Tribolium castaneum: one gene and its partner. The protein of the gene in region 1 binds, or shares a complex with, the protein of each later gene. Links are inferred from orthologs where the notes say so. Each region holds a gene or a part of one and is shown in the gene's direction. Other genes may lie near its edges.

Region 1 (3,327 bases):
TAACTCGTTCTTCACTTGTCGTAATTTTTTTCGTAGTAGTTGTGCGTAACGCCTCCGAAAAAATATCAAAACTCTCGTCTTGTTTTTCCGTTGTTGTCTCAACCGGAGTGTAATAATGAATGGTTGTGATGGGTTTCGGCGACTTTGTATAACTTTGGGTCGGTAAAGTCGTAATCGGGATTAATTGTCCTTCACTTACGACAAAAGTCGTAGTCGTAGGAGTCGTAACTGAGAATCGGTGAGGCCCACTTGATGTTTTCGCCGCCAATGACTCGATCAATTTTTTGTACAGTTCGTATTCTTTTGGATCGATTGTTGTTTGGTCGTGGTATGAAGTGAAAAATCCGGGAAAACTGTGCAACACGTGTTTGTACCCATCCGGGGTCATTTGTATTAAAATTCCGGGTTTGTAGTGTCCATGATCTTCCTCTTTCTTGAACCACTCTTTTTGTCCAACTGTGTTCACACCCGGATCGCTCTTAATCACGAAAATGTGTCCCGGGACGTTATAGTTAAAAAACCCATGTCTTTTGACCAAATCCTCGCTGATGGTGTGCGTGATGGGCGAAATCGTGTACTCGATTTCGTACACGTGCCCATAATGGGGGTCCCGATGTCTTATCCGCTTCACCGTCCACAGTGCGAGTAGTTTATGGTGACCGAAGGTTTTCCACTGGCATTGGGGCGACGTGAGGCATCTTTGACAATCACAGTCCACGTCTTGAACAAATTTGAAACCTTCAGGGGTTATGTAGAGTTGTCCTCGTGCCAGAACGGCGATGTCTCCGAAAGGACTTGCGTCGTCCTGTCGGTTGATAAAAGGGGCTGCCAGGAGGCGGTCGCGGAGCCCCGGGTCGGTGTAGTGTTCCCGGAGGAGGGCCTGATGCACGGACTCACGCAGCCCCAATTCCCAGTCGGTGGGAGGATGAAAGTTTCGCACGGGTCGAGTGATTGATACAGTTTCCCATAGTTGGAGAGTCTGAAAATGAGAGTTTTCATTTTTTAATAACCTTGGACTTGAATGGGATTGTTAGTCGTGGTAAAATTACCAAGAGTAAAATGAAGATTATTTCGAAGTGTCCCATTTTAGACCCACTGGGTGTTTGCAAATGTTTGAAAGCTGCACATGTCACTAGTTCGCTCGGTTTCTTACAACTAAATCTTTTTACTTAGAGAGATTGAAGAGTACCCCACCGATGATCCTAGAAGCTTTCGACATAATTGCTAATACATTGTCTACTTTTCTGCGCACTGATGAATATTAATTATTTTTTTCTTGTGTGTGCAATGTGCATATTATATTACTTAATTTAGACACATGCCAAGATAATTATCTCGGGGTTTTAAGAAAAAACCCGAATTATTATTTTCGGACAAGTTAATTTGGCACGACAGTAATTAACTAAAATGACTCTCATTAACAATGAAGTTTTGAAATTTTTATTAAGAGTGATGGGTTTGTTAAAATTAAACCTTCGGAAAAAGTATTGTCCGAAGTGAGATTTTTTAATTAAAAATTTATTAGCAAGGTTTTATTGGCAATTCTATGATGAATTTGTATTGTCGCAACATCTTGATAATTGCATTTTCATTACGATAAATAATGGACTCGCACTTTTAATTTAATTTATTTTTTACCTTCTTCTTTGATGGTGGATTTTTGTTGATTTAATTTCTGCAAAAACATTTTTTTTCTTTATGTTACTCGAAGGAAAATAGAGAAATTTTATTTTCACCGAAAAGCGTGGCTAATTGAAACCTTGTGGTGTTACCTAAGACCCTATTTGCGTAAAATTCAGTACTTGAGGTAGAATATTTTCATTTTTATTGCACAAATTCATTACCTTTGATTTAATCTCCGCGTTATGAAACCAGAGATGTTTACGATCGTTCTTATTTTTTTCTTTTAATTCGTAATTTTGCTCACGAATCTTCAGTTTCACCTTGAACTTAATTGCTCTGAAAAGAACCGATTTTAAGTCAGCGGCGATATCGCAAAGTCGCATCTTTACGCTTGGAGATTTCGAAACGAAAAACAATAACGAAAGTGCATGTTACACGATGAAGATTACAATTGTTTGAAACAATCATCACAATGAGCAAATTTGACATAATGGTCACGGTATGAAGTGATTCTTGTAATTTAAAGGAAAAAGTCCGAAAGTAAAACGTGCGTGAATTTGACCAATTAACACGAGAAAATAGCTATACATTGCAGCTTGCGTAAGAAAGGGATACGATTATATGCGTTCGAGAAAAAACGAACGTTTCCGTTATGATTACTTGCAACAATATTGGATTTTCTGGTCGGTGGTCTTCCGCTATTATTAATTTTTCTTTTCCGTTTCGGTTTGCGGAAAACAATTTTGTTGTATTAAACGGATTGTTTTTTTGAATAATTCATTTATTTAAAGTGGAACGGAGGATTATGAGGAGTTGTGAAAAAATCCAGCTTCCGTCGTGGCGAAACCAAAATTATGAAATTTTTTGTCATGCATAACAAATCGTGTTTTAGCGTCACTTCCGGGTACTACGGCTGCCCATCAATTGGTGGTGTCAATACGTCAGAAGTGCACCCCCGAGGAGGTCCTAGGGGTGCTTAAGGACCTCCCAAACCCCCGTTCAGAAGAAGAGACTGATAGCAGATTTAATCCTCTCAAAATCGACGTTTTTGTGCAAACTCTACTCAACTTAGGGTCGAAGAGCTTCTCGCACAGTTTTGCAGCGATTTCCAAGTTTCTTTACGTTTTTAAGGTACTCAGGCTTGAACATTTGTGTCTTAAATCACTTTTTTTTTGATAGATTTTAGCAGAGTCGGAGGAAGCTCAAATTTGCGTTTTACGAAACATGTTCGAATTGTGGCACCACCACCAACAAATGATGGTCGTTTTAGTTGACAAAATGTTGAAAATTCAAATTGTCGAGTGTTCAGCGGTCGCTAATTGGATTTTTTCCAAAGAGATGACGGCCGAATTCACCAAAATGTACTTGTGGGAAATTTTACATCTGACTATTAAAAAAATGAACAGACACGTGATTAAGCTAGGGGGTGAACTAGCTGAAGCTAGAGAGAAACTAGCACGGGCTGAAAGCAGCGAAAGTGAGTCTGAAGATGAGGATTCGAAGAAGAAGCAATCTGATAACGAGAAACCAACTGAAGAGTATGTTGAAAGGATGGAAGAGAAGTTGGAAGCGGCACAAGCCGATCAGAAAAACTTGTTCCTGATTATTTTCCAGAGGTTTATAATGATACTGTCTGAACATTTGGTCAGGTGTGACACGGATGGGCGCGACTATAACACCCATTGGTACAAGTGGACAATTGGG
Region 2 (3,331 bases), on another chromosome or scaffold:
ACCTCTTATGATAATAAACTATTTTGTAATTTTTTTGGTATTTTTCTGCGTTTACTGTACTCTGAAGAAATTAATAATTAAACACCTCTTTTAAATGAATGACTTTCTATAATCTTTTATAAAGACGTCGAAATTTGACTATTTATTTTACTTTGAACATTTTATTTTTGATTGAATTTGTAGCAGTCTGTATTTTTTTTTTTTTTTTTTCATAAGTAAGGGCTTTTCTTTACCTAAAGATGCACAAAATTGGTGCTCAGCTTTGTATTTCGTAAGATTTTACATCTCCAGTATTGGTTTTTTATCTTTACTGTAATTGTCTGAACATTTAGTTGTTAAGGCTAGTAATTCGTGGCAGCATTATTGCATTAAAATGTATCAACAGAATTGGAAGAGAAAAACAAAGAAAAGGGTAAAGAAGAAGTCGTCGAAAAACCAAACGATGACACTCCCAAGAAAGAACAACCTGCGGAAAAGCCAAAGCCTGATGAACCTGAAGCAAAAGAAAACGGCGAAACGACTGCAGAAGACGGTGAAATAGAACAAGAGAAGAAGGAAGAGGAGGAAAAACCAGCTCCTGAAGAAAACAAAGAGCCTGAAAAAATGGAGGTGGTAGAAGAAGAGAAGAAAGAGTCTGAAAACCCCGAGCCGGCGAAAGAAAACGAACCAGAAGAAGGCGAAGAAGTGAAGAAAGAACCTAAAGACAAGAAACGCAAGCGTTCCTATTCGGGAAGCAGCAGCGGCTCGTCGAGTAGCAGCAGCGACAGCGAAGACGAGAAAGAGAAAAAAGAGAAGAAGGAAGAGGAGGACGAAGAAACCGAAAAAGACAAACCGAAAGAAGAAGTCAAAGAGCACATTGAAACCGTCGAAGACGACAAACCGGAAAAACCCAAATCGCTGCACAAAACCACGTCAATTTTTCTGCGTAATTTAGCGCCGACTATTACGAAACAAGAAGTGGAGGCGGTTTGCGGCCGCTATGAGGGTTTTCTGCGCGTGGCTTTGGCCGACCCTCAGCCGGAGCGGCGGTGGTTGAGGCGCGGTTGGGTCACGTTTAAACGAGACGCGAATATTAAGGAGATCTGTTGGAATTTGAATAATATTAGACTGAGGGACTGCGAATTGGGGGCGATCGTTAATCGGGATTTGAGTCGGAGGATTCGGCCTGTTAACGGCATTACGGCCCATAAACAAGTCGTCCGGTCCGATATTCGAATATCGGCGAAAGTTGCGCTGCATCTCGATAATAAAGTTGGGCTTTGGTTGGACGATGAGAAGAAAGATAAGCCCCAACAGACGTTCGGGCTGGTGTCGAATAATCCTGTTCTGCACAATATTACCGACTATCTGATCGAGGAGGCGAGTGCCGAGGAGGAGGAACTTCTGGGGCTGGAGCCAACGGCGGAGACGCAAGATTCGGCCACTACTGTTGAAAGAGACGAACAACTTATTTCAGTCTTGGACCGGATTATTCTGTATTTGCGTGTTGTTCACTCGGTTGATTATTACAATCACTGCGAGTATCCCAATGAGGATGAGATGCCAAATAGGTGCGGGATTCTGCACGCCAGGGGGCCGCCACCTACCACCAAAGTATGATTGCGCTTTGATAACTCTACCCCAGAATAAATGTGTTTGTCACAAAACCACTAATTGAAAATTTTACACGGTTTTTTAATTACCAAAGATAGGAATTAACACTAACTTGCACCAGAATAGATTAATCTGCGGAAGCCCATTTTCAAAAAAATTTAAGTACATTTTTGTTCTGGGGCACAAAAAAGGAAGCTGTTTAAACGAAATCTTGAATTTGTCAACGATTTTTTTTGTACAATTGTTATTATTAGGGATCAGTGTAGAAAATTTATAGTAGCCAGAAATTTTTGCACTCATTGGTCAGTTATTATCGTTTGAACAACTCCTCTTTTAATGCAATCATTCCAAAATTAAGAAAATCCCTTTAATTGTTTTGTTTTTTCATAGACTGATATGACCCAATTTATTGGGGCTCCAGTCGAGGCCAAAATGACTAGTTTTCTTCCCGAAAAACCCCGCGACGAGAACAAAAACGAAACGAAACTAATCAACCTGTCTCTAAAAGACGTTGATACCGAAATTGACAAGTTCGTTCAAGCGAATACAAGAGAGTTGGCCAAGGACAAGTGGTTGTGTCCATTGTCCGGCAAAAAATTCAAGGGTGAGTTGGAAAAAAAACTCGCTTTATTTCTGACTTTGGATCGTAGGTCCTGACTTCGTCCGTAAGCACATCTTCAACAAGCATGCTGAAAAAATTGAAGAGGTGAAGAAGGAAGTCGAATTTTTCAATAACTATTTACGGGACCCTAAAAGACCAATGTTGGCGGAAGCCCCCCAGCCAAAACGTGAGGAACCGCCCTCTTACAACCACCCGTCGTATGGAGGTTCCTATGGTGGGTATGGTAGGTTACCCCCATATTACAATCAAGGGTATTCGCAACGTTCTAGGGGTTATACACCAAGATCAAGGTAAGTTTTACAGAATTTAGATTGCTTTTTTTATTATTCTTTATTAAAGGGGTGGTCCTGGGGATTATAGGCCGGTTATTCACTACCGGGACCTCGATGCTCCAAGGGAGCCAGAAGAGTTTATTTAAATCTTTAATTTATGCTTGTAAGTTAGAGGACTAAGAAAGAATATTTCAAACAACATTTTATTTTGATAATAAGTTTGTAAAGGTACCGTCATTCAATCAATAAACTGTTCGTATTTTTATGGGTTTCTTTCAATTTTTTATTCCCCAAGTCCCTAAACAAGATTTTCTGACGTTTTGAAAAGTATCATTTACGGACCATTTTATAATTTATTATTCACAAGGATATTTGCAGTAACGAGGTAAATATTAAAAAAAATAGTACACGAAAAAATCATTTAAAATCCTGATTTTTGGCACTCAAATTAATTTTTTTAATTATCACTAACAAGGAAAGACGAGTCAGTTTTTACGTTGAAACTAGTAATTATAAATATTTTGCCAAAAGCCTCCGGCAGCAAAAAATTGGCCAAAAACAGAAAGTCATAAGTTCAAGGACTCTATTAAATCATCAAGTTTGCATCCTAGACTTGTTTTAGTAGATAATCTGCATTTTATAATGACGATCATGAGGTAAAAATTACCCTTAGTTAACACTATTGAAAATTTTGACGCTTTTTAAGCATGTGTGGCAGTGAACGGGGTGATCTCGAATTAACCGACAAAGAAAATTGCGGAAAAAATGAAAACGGCAAAAGCAGCTACAATTGCGGTCAAAATCTGCTTAATTACGTTGTGGAATTTTGCAATAATGGAACCAT

The links. The genes of interacting proteins can lie anywhere in the genome.
Region 2: the proteins of Cbp80 (region 1) and Ars2 are in contact, whole or in part, in a cryo-EM structure (PDB 8PMP), measured with the Homo sapiens proteins. The link is inferred for Tribolium castaneum from reciprocal best matches to the Homo sapiens genes NCBP1 and SRRT. Residues at the interface, in NP_002477.1 of Homo sapiens: Tyr461, Gln463, Lys511, Lys557, Ser558, Ser560, His561, Ser564, Ala567, Lys568, His570, Lys607, Ile609, Arg610, Thr611, Gln612, Met648, His651, Glu705; in NP_056992.4 of Homo sapiens: Asp857, Pro858, Arg859, Val862, Glu863, Tyr864, Arg865, Asp866, Leu867, Asp868, Ala869, Asp872, Asp874, Phe875, Phe876.

Annotation. Positions count from the first base shown.
Region 1 is NC_087397.1:5,581,178-5,584,504, forward strand, and holds part of Cbp80 (nuclear cap-binding protein subunit 1), read left to right. Parts: coding exon of another isoform or gene 1-979; intron 980-1,049; coding exon of another isoform or gene 1,050-1,085; exon of another isoform or gene 1,086-1,199; intron 1,200-2,515; coding exon 2,516-2,754; intron 2,755-2,802; coding exon 2,803-3,327. Other genes in the region: mucin-2-like, read right to left, coding at 1-979, 1,050-1,085. UniProt on the Homo sapiens protein: Component of the cap-binding complex (CBC), which binds cotranscriptionally to the 5'-cap of pre-mRNAs and is involved in various processes such as pre-mRNA splicing, translation regulation, nonsense-mediated mRNA decay, RNA-mediated gene silencing (RNAi) by microRNAs (miRNAs) and mRNA export.
Region 2 is NC_087394.1:28,905,767-28,909,097, reverse strand, and holds the end of Ars2 (serrate RNA effector molecule homolog), read left to right. Parts: intron 1-385; coding exon 386-1,593; intron 1,594-1,983; coding exon 1,984-2,197; intron 2,198-2,243; coding exon 2,244-2,505; intron 2,506-2,554; coding exon 2,555-2,633; 3' UTR 2,634-2,752; downstream 2,753-3,331. Other genes in the region: pickpocket protein 28, read left to right, coding at 3,130-3,143, 3,194-3,331. UniProt on the Homo sapiens protein: Acts as a mediator between the cap-binding complex (CBC) and the primary microRNAs (miRNAs) processing machinery during cell proliferation.